2 linked regions of the Daphnia pulex genome follow. Each later gene encodes a partner of the first gene's protein in a complex. Links are inferred from orthologs where the notes say so. Each region holds a gene or a part of one and is shown in the gene's direction. Other genes may lie near its edges.

Region 1 (6,399 bases):
CAAAATTTCTTGAAGATTTTCTTGCCCTTCAACAGAAAATCCCTAAAGTGTTGAAAAGAAAAAGATAAGTTACACATACAGACTAGGTGGGAACATAGAAAAGCTTACTCCGTCGGCCATCATGAAATGTACGCCTTCTCCGGTTTGAGCCATAACAAAACGTTGGAATTCACGGATGTTTTCCGGATTATACACATCTCCGTTTCCTTCAACTCCACCAACACCTAATATAAAAATGATTCACTATAACTGACTACTGATTTCAATTGATTGATCTGATTTTTTTTAAATTAAAATTATAACACTTTTCTTTACCATAATGGGGTTCAAAACATTCGCAAGGGGCGGCATGGAAATCTTCCAACTTGAAATCGTTGGAGCTCTTTAGAGTGAAGCCGAAACCCTTGGCTTCCCATTTTTTTCGCCACAGTATGTATTCAGAAAATCCTCCTGGGCCAGCGCAAACGTCAGCAAAATAAAGTAATTCGTTCGGACCAAGAACTGGGGTCTGTAAAGAATTTCACTCAAAATCACAAAGTAAAATTCTGCTTTACCAATGTACAAAACTTACCCCATCTTCGTTTCTAGGATCAGTAAACATAAAATCAAAAACAGCATCCATATTTGCCATCTTCATCGCCGCTCTGTTAAGAAAAAAAGCTCCCCGAATAGTTTCAAATGGATTAGAGCGGGTGCGTGCTTTCCTTAGTTCTTCTTCTTCCAACACATCAAATATCGACTTGAAAAGAGCAAAGAACATGAATGTAAATATTTAATAATGACATTAATCATCCTAAATTAAGTTACTTTGCACTGAAGAACTTGTTTTAAAATGTCGCTGCTACAAAATGTTGTCTCATCATCAATTGTTAATTTTTTGGTTCCCTCTTTTACCCAATTTTTTAACTCTGGCAAAGTAGGTGCAGGAGTGGAATCTAGATGAAGCCATGAAATCTCTTCTTCCACTACAACAGTCTAGAAGACAACAGAATGAATGAATGAAATAATCAAGATAAATGTAGACATTAACAACCTCTCTACTTGAGTCCCATTCAACATCTTCAGCTTCCAATCCTTTTATCTGCAAACCCAATCCTCTTCTTCCGCGTTGTTTAGAGACTTCGATGGGCTGTGTCATACCTTGGGATTTCTTACCAAGTCCAGTTCCTTTAGCCCAACCCATTTTAGCCTTTAAGTAGTTCAGAAATCTATTAGCAGCCACATAGTATGCACTGTAAGAATATTAAACTGACCATCATTGCTGTGGCTTTATGATTTATGACTGGAGCAGCAGCAGATTTAGGTTTGATGAGTGTTTTATGTACAGAAGGCATGATAGGCTGATCATCATCACTAGAATCAGAATCTTGACTACTGGATGGTGCATTAAACCCATATCCTCCATCAGCATTACTTTTGGATGGGCTAACAATGACAGTGCTACGTTCACATGTTTCAATGTCATTTAGTTTCTTTCTTGAGTTAACTTCTCCTGTATTATTATAATACTGTGTGTTTGGTTTTTTCAAAGGAGGTCTGTAACTATCATCATCTGAACTGGAATCTGTAGAAATTTTGCAGGAAATTACTTATATTATATATATATAACCCATTAGTTGCAAAACGGGTTCCACCAATTTATTCAAGCTAGGTTAATTATTGCTGAAGATAAACCAACTTTTTTCTATAAAAAAATTTAAACAGCGTCTCATACTAACCACTCAGTGATGTTATTTTTCCTTGCGAAGCCATTGTTTAGCGTTTTGTAGTTGTGTAGACTATTTGATGACTGACGTCGTTCCTAATAATATAACGTTTCCAAATTTTTAAGTTAATTCAAAAGCCAAAAGCTTCCAAAAGTTGATTTCCATGATTTATATATGACTCACCAGAATTAAACGTACGCATTGACATGTGGCTATAGAAGTCAAAATGCAAGCATCTTGAAAATACACAAAAAAAAATGTCTGACGAATGATTTAATAAAACGATCGAATGACCGAACGGAAGAAAGTAAACACCGCTCGTTCTTGCTCACGCTAGCATAATCTGATATCTGTAGCGATGTCTGCTACAGTCTGGGTCTTTCATTTTTATTGGCTGATATGAAAATATTTTGAGTTTAGTATCAGTACATAGAGGGCAGCAGATAAGGTGGGGTCAGCTGTTAGTGTGGTGGTATTATTGTGTAATGTAATGAGCTAATCAGCCAGCAGCTCTCTGCAGACTGCATATCCAAAACCTAAAGCAAGCCGGCCTGTCATAATTTCTTACCTGTTATTTTTATGCCTTGGGTTGGCGGTTTGAGACTTGAAGCGTTAAGACATTCTGACATCAGCTCGCGAAACGTCAAAAACTTACATTAACGCTATCCAATCCCCAACCATTCGATTTGCAGTTACAACCACAGACTAAGAGGGTAAAGACTACGATCAGGGATAGGGCTAAAGAGGGATGCTTGAAGCGATGCTCGTCCTATGCCGTATGGTGGCGCGTCGAGCACACAAAACGAAAGCCATTATTTTTCCTCTTTCCCTACTGATTAGAGTCTTCACACACCGTAAGTTTATAATTAAACCATTAACATATCAATAGTGATGTTTTGTGTAAATATAGCTTAGATATCTCCCATGTTGTGGGAATTTTTTTAAATTTCTATGTGATGTCTAGATACAATCTATAAATTCCTTTATTAAACCCCCTTTTTGCCCATTTTCAGGCCCAGGAAACAGCGTTTCACGATTTTCAGGCCCATTTCAGAAAATCTTGAAACGCTGTTTCCTGGGCCTGAAAATGGGCAAAAAGGGGGTTTAATAAAGGAATTTATGGATTGTATCTAGACATCACATAGAAATTTAAAAAAATTCCCACAACATGGGAGATATCTAAGCTATATTTACACAAAACATCACTATTGATATGTTAATGGTTCAATTATAAACTTACGGTGTGTGAAGACTCTAATCAGTAGGGAAAGAGGAAAAATAATGGCTTTCGTTTTGTGTGCTCGACGCGCCACCATACGGCATAGGACGAGCATCGCTTCAAGGGGTTTATAGCCGTTCGTGGTCTTTACCCTCTTAGTCTGTGGTTACAACTAAAGAAATGTATGTGCGGTATGTGTAATCACTAATCAGTTGGTGAACAGTGCCAATGAAAAACGTCAAAATGAGTAAAGAACTAAATGAAAACGATAAAAGAAAAAGAAACAATCTTCTTTCTCAATACTATGGGATAACAGAAGAAAAGGATGTAGAAAACCTTTTTGACGTGGATGGAAAGCACTTTAATGCTGATGCCTATGTTGACAAACTGGTTCAGGTAATCATATTCTATTTCTTATTTTGCCAAATAATAAAATAAAACTTTTATGTGCTTGGATGTTTTTCAATAGGAAACCAGCTTAAAGCAACTTATAGATAAAGAACAGGAACTTGTTCGTGAAATTCAATCACTTGATTCAGAAATGCAAACTTTGGTTTATGAAAATTATAATAAATTTATCCTTGCCACTGATACCATCCGCCAAATGAAAAGTGATTTCAAAACTATGGAAGATGAAATGGAGAAGTTAGTTCAAGACATGTCTCATATTGCAACATTTGCCAACAATATATCTTCAAATTTACAGGTTGGTGAAATATTTGAGTTTAGAGTTGATTAAATTTTTAATAATAATGACCCTGTCTTTTTAGGATCGGCGCCAACAAATAACAAAGCTTTCAAACATTCACGAACTGCTAAAAAATTTGCAATTTTTGTTTGATCTTCCCAACAAGCTGAAAACATGTGTAGAAGAAAAGAATTATTCATTGGTTTGTTTCATTGACATTATCTGTCTATATTTCCTGTATTAAACTATAATGTTTCTTGTTTAGGCTGTTAAGTATTATGCAAAATCTGAGCAAGTTCTTCAAGATTTTGGAGATCATCCTTCTTTTAGTGGAATCCAATCAGATTGCAAAGAAATTGTTGAAACACTCAGGAAATGCCTAAAGGTGCAATTCAGCAGAGCTGAGGTAAGCTGTAAAAAAAATATTATGTTGGAAAGTAAGATAATAAGAAACTAACCAAAATGTCTATTGTGGAATTTTACATGACATGTTCATGGAATTCATAGGTAACTTCCCAGGAACTAGAAGAATCTGCATCTCTTTTATGCAAACTAGGTGAATCTTCCACTGACCTTGCAAGAGAATTTCTTGAAATCAATAAAGTGAGGTTAGAAAAAGATTTGGAAGATCTATCCTCATATGTGTGGTCTGGTGAAAATAATGGAGAAGTGGTCCTCATATTCATTGAAAAATGCTGCAATACAGCATTGAATAACGTTGCTCTTACCATTGCAACCTTCAACAACATTTTCCCTTCAACCATATCGAAACATAATGAGTATGTTTTACTTTTTATTGATTTTATGGTTTAAATTTTTTGCGTTTTCATCATAATACGTTGAATTAACAGGGGGATGAATAGCATGGCCACGGATGTTATTAATCAACTTTGCCCAATAGGTAAGGAGCTATATATTTCACCCTAGAAATTAGCTCATGTCATAAAATTTCCTTTTCGTCCCTGTAGTGGAAAGTAAAATTGTCGAAATCATCGGATTCGAGATAAGTGAAGCCTGCTGTTTGTCAGTAGTTGCGGCTTTGGATAAATTTCATCGTCGTCTATTGGCCGTTCAGCGACTATTACTGGTGGATAAGCAATGGAGCTTCACTCTCATTACTGAAATTGCTCGAATAATTTCACATCGAACAGCCGACGCTCTTGTTATCAAATGGACAAGTGAACTACAAGGCTGGCGTGATTCCTGGAATAACGATAATCAGCCACACGGTTCGGTCAAATTTATTGAAGGGGCTCTCGTGGAACACATTCATCGTGCTTTTGTTGCTCTAACGGTATTATCGTAAGGTTCTGTGTCATTTTATACCCGTTAAAATTCAACATTTATTTTTTATTTAGGCCTTTGTAGGAAATCACGTTACTTTTTCTCAAGATTCTCAATTCCGTCAGACATTTGGTCGACGTTACGTACGGGAAGAAGTATTAGTACAGTCGTTGAGTAAACTTTCCACTATGTTAGCAAATCTGAGCAACGTAACGGGGAAAGATAGCGCGTCTCCGACTCTAATTCTTGTCCTCTCTCGGGTGGCAATCGATTTTAGTCAAAATTTGGCTCAATCCTTGGTAATTGAATTGAATTCAAACAAAATATCTCTTCAGAATTTTAACGTAAATTTGTGTGATTTGCAGTTGTCTTTAATAGAGGAACAGTTTGACATTCCAGTCGGTTTTCAAGGAGACCATCTGACTCCGATATCTGTTATAACTCTCGACTTCAAACAAACTTCACAGTCGCTTTTGCAAAGTTATGTTCAAAGTGAAAGTCACGTTCTCGTTCAGGTGAGTGTGTTTGCTAATGTTGGTTATGGGATAGTTATGCAATAGCGTTCACCGCTTTATTTTTGCTTGGAAGATGATTCGTAAGTCGATGGATTCTCGCGATTGGTTAACCGCTAGTGAACCTCGTGGCGTTAGACCTGTCATCAAGCGTGTGTTGGAAGAGATAAGTCGAGTAGATTCCCATGCAGCTCAACTGTACGAAGAAGGATCAAGAAAAGAAAGGAGCTCAGATTCTTCCCGCCGAACACATCACAGGTTTGAATTATTTCAAATGAATACGATTTACAAAGTTTTAGGATTATTTTTCTTTTTTTTTCTGTATTAATTACACTTAACAGTAGCTCCAGAATGCAACAAAAATCATCTTGGTCATCATTGGGTCCTTCTCAGCTGGACTCTTCATTACTGAATAATATACAGAAATTATTTTCTGAACGAATTGATTTGTCGGGAACCGTTGAGCCCAATAAAGGATCTGTCGTCATGGCCATTATTAAAATCTGCCTTAAGGTTTGAAAAATTAATTTTTCTGTATTATGCTTATTAACATTTCGTCTGGGCCTATTTAGGGATTCTTGGAATGTGTTCGTCTAAAGACATTTGGAAAGTATGGCATTCAGCAAATTCAAGTAGATTGCTACTACTTGCAACTTTTCTTGTGGCGATTCACCTTCGATGAGAAGTATTCCAGCGCTTAAATTTGTCAGTGATAATTAATCCTAAAGATGATTTATTAATTATTTTTGTTTTCCAGTTTGGTTCACAGTTTGCTGGACGAAATTTTGTCGAGTGCAGTCCAACGCTGCTTGGAACCTGTATTGATGGAGCCGGGCGTTGTGGAGCTCATCTGTGAACGTTAGAAGAGTAATTTAACAATTTCGTTTGTTTTCAAATCTTATAAATATATTTCTGGTTTTCACCAATTATGTCTGAATACACTGTGTATTTCTATCCTCAAGTATTTTTTTAAATTGTATCCTCTTGTAA
Region 2 (6,225 bases), on another chromosome or scaffold:
CGACTAGATAGGTGCTGGTGGCTCGCCGAGATGCAATTCCGTCAAGAACAGTGTTGTCTTGAACAAAGAAGCTTACATCGGCAATATGAACGGAGACCCGATACAATCGTGTAATCCCATCATCAGCCATTTTGAGAAAACGACCAGAGACTGCGTCATCAAGATCACGAGCATCCGCTGGATCAATGGTGAAAATACACTGCTGTCTATTAAGGGGAAAAAAAAATTATAGCAAATTGAAAATGAGGATGAAATGTGTTAACTAACCTGAAGTCTCGACGCTTTTTAATTTCTTCTGTTGGGATACTCCATGGGAGTGAAGGCAGGTCATCGAAGACTTCTTGGGGAAAATCACCATAGTCAACCTCGTGTTCGAGTAGAAGAGCTATTGTCTCTGCTTCGATATCACCCGATTTACCAATAAAATAACAGAGCGATCTAGAGAAAGAAAATGAAACTATAAATCACAACGCTTAAAAATATGAAGTAATAAAATCCTTAATTACCCTAATGGATGATTGACATCTTCCCACGAATCTATACGAGCTAAATAGAGCATATTGGGTTGTAATAAGCAACTAGCGAGTTCTGGCGCAAACGGAATTTTCAAACGAGGGATACGGTGGTCTTTGGGTGCGAACAAAATCCAACTCGGTAATGGTCCGGATTGACCGTAAGGCCATTGTCTCAAACTGCCAATAGCACACCTTGAGTGCTTTAGCTCTTTGATGAATACAACCTGTCAATTAGAAGCAATAATTTAAAACATTTTAAAACACTTCATGAAAATGACGAAATTACCTTGGCAATTTTTCTTGGGGTATTGACAATATTTGGGTTCTGTTGACTATTTTCATCAATTGTTCCAGCCGTATTTATGTGTGATTTATTCTGTAAAACTACGCTTAAAGTTTCTACTTGAACGGTGGTAGTCTTCGTTAAAGAATCCTCAATTGTACATGATGCGCTTAATTGTGCGGTGAGATTTTCAACAATGACATTTTTCTTCTTTCTTGGCCTGCGAGTTCTTTTTCTCTGCTCTTCCGCAGGATTATCCAACTAAAGAAAGCAATGAGTTTCTAAGTTATTATCTTCAAGTACATAAAAAAAAATAAAGTATTTACGTTAGTTACATTTTCGGCCATTGTTGAAGGGGTTTTTAGACCGCTTTTGTCTTGCAATTCTGCACCAAGATTTAAATTTGAAACATTTTCCATCAATTTCTTCGGCTTTTTCCTATTTTTTGGTCCCAGGGTTTTCGCGCCCCTAACTTCACGTGAAGCGGCTAAATCTGCATCCACACACTGAACTTCCTTTTCAGTCACTTTTGAAATATTTTCTTTGAGTTCACTGGCTGCAGCCAAATTTTTTGGAGTAATAGGCTGTTCGTTTTGCTGAATGTTTGGTGAACTCGGACTCTCAGCAAAACTTTTTTCACATTCTTTGTTTGCAGTTTGTGTTGGCAGCATCTCACAAACAACAATATCTCCATTAAGTGCTCTGTTTCTGTGCAAAATTCCTTCAATCAGAAAATCTTCGGTTCCATCCTAATACCATTGAGATTTGTTCAGTTAGTTCTTTTGAATATCAAAACTTGTGAAAACAAATTTGCAAGCAATACTTACAGGTGCAGAAATGTATGCCTCTTTATAGTTTTTAGGATTGATTCTTAAAACACCCTATAAATACAACAAACACAGACAGTTAAAACATTACATCAATTAATTCTGAATATAACCAAAACCTACTTCAAAAAGGGACTCATTCCGTAATCCTTCTTCAACATCCTTTTGGTCCCAATAATTTTCAAAAGTTTTACTACGATTGGGTCTCTGTGGTGTGGAGTTTTTACCAATTGACTTTGCCATGATTAATTTCTTGTATGGGCAGATTATGTATAGAACTTATCATCAATGTAATTAAGAAAATGTAGGAATAAATGCAAATTGGCAGATCAGTATACAAATGTCAGTTATTGCTTTCCCTCTGTTGGAACCCTTATAAACTGGTTACTGACCAGTGCTAAAAATATTGAGTTAAAACCTTTGTCAGAGGTTTGAAAGTCATAATAAATCTCAACACTCGTCAGATTACAACCTGATTAACAGTTGACGAAAACTCTTCCACAAAATGTTTTACTTTCTTGGAAGCATGCAATGAGCAAAGATTCTCACTCTTGTCGTGCAAAAAATAGCCGTACTATCTAGACTTCAATCGTTGCTTCAAATTTGAGTAAAAAAAATAAAAGTTTCGAAATTCAGGGATATTCGGCTGACGCTAATATTTTCAAATGAGAAAGATAACTTTAATGGAAACCCTAATCTCTGGGAGATATTCACAATTTTTGCATCTTACTCTTGCACAATCTCTTTGACAACAAGCAGACGATATTGGTCGTCTGCAAACAGCTGAGAGATTTCGTCACGATTCCAGACAAGCCGCAATAACAAGTTTGTGTCAGATTTCGGTTAAAGCCGTTAAAGCTGATTAAAAACATTTAACAGCCATGGAAGATCATTGCGACTCTCAGATAAAAATGGATTTAAAAGTTAGTCTCAAGGACAGCATAATAAAAGAAGCTCTGAATTCGGGTGTAGATTTGAGACAGTATTCACAACAAGTAGAACAACAATTACAAGAGGTATACATTTTTGACATGTTATGAGTTCAGCTAACCAACTTCCTCTTTCCAGGTTGAACTAGTGTCTGTGCAAGATTATGTCAATCAGGGAACATCATTAGCACAGCTTCATTCACAGTTCACCCAATGTGATGTCGCTCTTGAAAGAATGGAAGTGCTTCTAAGTACCTTCAGATCTCAACTAGGTGGTTTAAGCAGTGATATTTTACAACTCCAGCACCAATCAGCTCAGTTGGGATTACGTTTGTCTAATCGACAGGCAGCTAGATCCTTGGCAGGACAAATAATTGATGATTTGGTAATTCCTGAAGCCCTGATAAGGTAAAATTACAAAGTACATCTATTTGTCTATGTGTTGTAATTTTTAAAAATTTAACATTCTTGAATAGACATCTACTTGAAACTCCAGTGACAGAGCCTTCGTTCTCTGAACAGTTGATAATACTTCAAGCAAAGTTGGCTTTGAGTGGTGATCACCATCAGAGGTGCAGTAGAGCTGCTCAAGTGAGTAGGCCTAACCATATAGTTTGAGTTTGTGATTTAAAAAAAATGTCTAATATTTTCTACCTAATATTTTATGCATTTTAAGGATGTGGTTCCTGTCCTAGGTGCATTAAGGATTAAGGTGGTTGAAAGACTTAGGCAGTTTCTGCTTTTGAAACTACAACAACTTAGAAGGCCACTTGCTAATTATCAACTACCACAGAATTCTCTTCTAAAACACAAGTAAGCCTCTGGGTTTTCTTTCTGGATTCCAAATACAATTCACATTTATGTTTTGTTTCACTAGGAATTTTTACCACTTTCTCATAACCCAAGAGCCTGAAATAGCTTATGAAGTGAGGCAAGACTATGTGCAGACAATGTCAAAGCTATATTTCTCTTATTTTAAGGTTCGTGTTTTGATTTAAGAAATAATAATAATTTGTTTGGATATAAATTATGATTTTTTCGTCTATATTCTCAATTGTTTCTTGTTCTAGAGCTACTCCACGCGATTACTGAAACTTGTGGATTCAAATAGTGTTAATAAAGATGATGTTCTTGCTTCCGAAGATGCATCGTTAGGTGCGGCTGCTGCTGCCGCCGCAAGGTCCTTGTTTGGAAGAGCCGCTCCTAGTGGGCGTAGTTCTAGCAGTAAATCTACGGTTTTTACCTTAGGTAACCCCAAAAATTCTTTCTTGCAATATATTTGCTTATTTTTTGCTGTCTTCTTTTTTTAAAATAATAGGAACTCGAATTGAAGTTGTTACAAACTTAGAAGCCCCTGTTCTAGTTCCTCACGCAGCTGCCACTGGTACCAGCGCTGGCCATAAAGGTGAAACGAAATATTCGTATGAAATCGTTTTCCGATCTCAACACTACGCATTGGCCGATAATGCTTGCCGCGAGTATTTGTTCCTCTGTGAATTTTTCCACGTTGAAAGAGCCCCTGCCATGGAGCTATTTCAAGAAGTAATGGGGAAGACCTGCACTATTTATATGGTAAGTTTACTATACACAATGCGCAGCATATTATTCCTTTCTAGCGTCATTTGTTTTTTTTTTCTTTTTAGAAATTTGTGGAAGAATATGTTTCGTCTTGTTATGACTCACTTGCCCTTTTTCTTTGCATCCAAATGGTCCAACGTTTGCAATATCTTTGCCACAAGAGAGCCGTTCCAGCTTTAGATTTTTATTACGAATCTCTCGTCTCCACGTTATGGCCTAGGTAATACTGTTAAATTTAAATGATTTGTTGACTTTTTTCTTTAATATTTGCCATATTTCTTAGATTTGAATATTTGGTACAAGCAAACATTCAGAGTGTCCGTGACTGCGATCCATCTAGACTTTATTCAAACATTGATACGCGACCACACTATGTATTTACCTTAAACATACTTTGATTAAATTTCTAAACTAACGAAAAAACATTAATAGGTAGTGCGACGATACGCCGAGTATACTTCAGCCATTTCTGCGATTCACGGTTAAACACTTTTTTTCCTATTGCATTAATTCTTGTGTCGTAATTTTCTTTATTTTGTATAAAAAGAGCATAACAGTATAACTTCAGCCATGGACTGGACTCCACGCCTACACCATTTACTTTCGACCATGCAAGAGGAGGTTGAAGGCTTCACGTTGCGCCTTGCTGCAGCCTTTACTAAACGAAAGGATCAATTAGTAGCCCTAATCAACAACTACGACCTGATGCTGAGTGTGATGACCGTAATATAACTAGATTTTAGTATTTTACCGAGTTTCTCAGCTTATGTATTAAAACTTGTTGTCTATTTATTAAGGAGCGCAACCGAGAAGAAAGTCGTGAAGCCGCTCGGTGTAAGGAATTGCTGTCTGCTAGAATTTCAGAATTTGTCGAAGAAATTCTTTTTTTCCATTTTGAGGGACTCGTCCGATTCGTCAAAGACTGCGAAGTCATGCTTACTCGAGGGCTTAACGAAGCGTTGCGGAACGAAGAACGTATGCATTTTTTAAAGTCTTTAATTTTATTATTAGTTTTGTCTCTCGATATATAGAATTGTTCCGTTTCTCTTTAATCGGCTTAAAGGTCGGGCCACGCAAACCATAAACGCTTTCATGGCTGGATGGAAGAAATCTTTGGACGAGATTAATAAAGAAATCTTAAATCTGTTTCCGAATTTCAAAAACGGAACCAACATTCTACAAGCGACGTTGACTCAACTCGTCGAATACTACCACCGTTTCCAAAAAATCCTAACCCAACATCCATTCCGCAACGTTCCTGCTCGTGCTGATTTGATTAACATTCATCAATTAATGGTAGAAGTCAGAAGGTACAAGCCAGCTTTCTAAATTTTAAAGATTTGAAGCCTGATTTGTTGAATACATGTATTAATATTAGTTAAAATGGGAATGACTCGTGAATATTGATCGCTGACTAGGTTAAAGGGAATTCATAATATTTAAAAAAAAACGTTCGTTATTTTAATGTTATCGATTTTAGAATTAAAGCTTGAATGGTTCTGAGTAATGTAGAACTTTCTTAAAGTTAATGAGACAGAAAGTGTGCTCTTGAAATGCCAGTAGAGTGCACGTTAGTAAACGTCACCAAAAACCGAACAGCAATCCTTATCAGGCGTACGTATAGATAAAATTCGTGCTTTGTATGCCGTGGGAGAAACGGGACGTGCAGTTTGGTCCTATACTCCTGGTACCGGTAGAGTTTAAGTTAAATTCTTTAAAGTCACTAGTTTTAGTACATAAATTCTCATTATCAGCCGAGGAACCGCAAATAACTAAAAGATGGGGTGTTGATTCAGTGCTTTAGTTATGCTATATAGAATACAAACTTATGTTATACTTTTAACTTTAAAGAAAAATTTGTTCTTGCAAATCCACTTGGAGCGTATGCAGCATGATAACGTCATAACGATGATAACATGTCTTATGTAAACATTTAGTACGCATTCAGACGAGATACTCTCCGTCGTAGGGTACTTCAAATCGGTTGGCTCAACTCAGTGGTTAGATTCTTTTTCTTAGAAAAATTGTTTATTCTTTACTAATACCGAATACATTTTCAGTTTGAAAATGGTTTTAACTTCCTCGAAATTTTT

The links.
Region 2: vacuolar protein sorting-associated protein 51 homolog (region 1) and vacuolar protein sorting-associated protein 52 homolog share a complex: the UniProt entries of both Homo sapiens proteins name them as parts of the endosome-associated retrograde protein (EARP) complex. The link is inferred for Daphnia pulex from reciprocal best matches to the Homo sapiens genes VPS51 and VPS52.

Annotation. Positions count from the first base shown.
Region 1 is NC_060021.1:634,948-641,346, reverse strand, and holds vacuolar protein sorting-associated protein 51 homolog, read left to right. Parts: upstream 1-2,200; 5' UTR 2,201-2,397; intron 2,398-3,090; 5' UTR 3,091-3,153; coding exon 3,154-3,321; intron 3,322-3,394; coding exon 3,395-3,631; intron 3,632-3,695; coding exon 3,696-3,815; intron 3,816-3,878; coding exon 3,879-4,019; intron 4,020-4,120; coding exon 4,121-4,392; intron 4,393-4,464; coding exon 4,465-4,514; intron 4,515-4,581; coding exon 4,582-4,907; intron 4,908-4,971; coding exon 4,972-5,412; intron 5,413-5,485; coding exon 5,486-5,667; intron 5,668-5,750; coding exon 5,751-5,922; intron 5,923-5,981; coding exon 5,982-6,094; intron 6,095-6,166; coding exon 6,167-6,272; 3' UTR 6,273-6,370; downstream 6,371-6,399. Other genes in the region: cap-specific mRNA (nucleoside-2'-O-)-methyltransferase 1-like, read right to left, coding at 1-42, 109-224, 316-508, 572-739, 808-975, 1,034-1,189, 1,254-1,564, 1,719-1,752. UniProt on the Homo sapiens protein: Acts as a component of the GARP complex that is involved in retrograde transport from early and late endosomes to the trans-Golgi network (TGN).
Region 2 is NC_060027.1:4,798,327-4,804,551, forward strand, and holds vacuolar protein sorting-associated protein 52 homolog, read left to right. Parts: upstream 1-2,490; 5' UTR 2,491-2,506; coding exon 2,507-2,641; intron 2,642-2,693; coding exon 2,694-2,962; intron 2,963-3,030; coding exon 3,031-3,145; intron 3,146-3,230; coding exon 3,231-3,367; intron 3,368-3,431; coding exon 3,432-3,534; intron 3,535-3,624; coding exon 3,625-3,802; intron 3,803-3,872; coding exon 3,873-4,126; intron 4,127-4,197; coding exon 4,198-4,352; intron 4,353-4,415; coding exon 4,416-4,506; intron 4,507-4,564; coding exon 4,565-4,613; intron 4,614-4,679; coding exon 4,680-4,855; intron 4,856-4,929; coding exon 4,930-5,107; intron 5,108-5,195; coding exon 5,196-5,461; 3' UTR 5,462-5,509; downstream 5,510-6,225. Other genes in the region: DIS3-like exonuclease 2, read right to left, coding at 1-206, 268-438, 507-739, 802-1,059, 1,125-1,547, 1,626-1,679, 1,749-1,868; uncharacterized protein LOC124207589, read left to right, coding at 6,200-6,225. UniProt on the Homo sapiens protein: Acts as a component of the GARP complex that is involved in retrograde transport from early and late endosomes to the trans-Golgi network (TGN).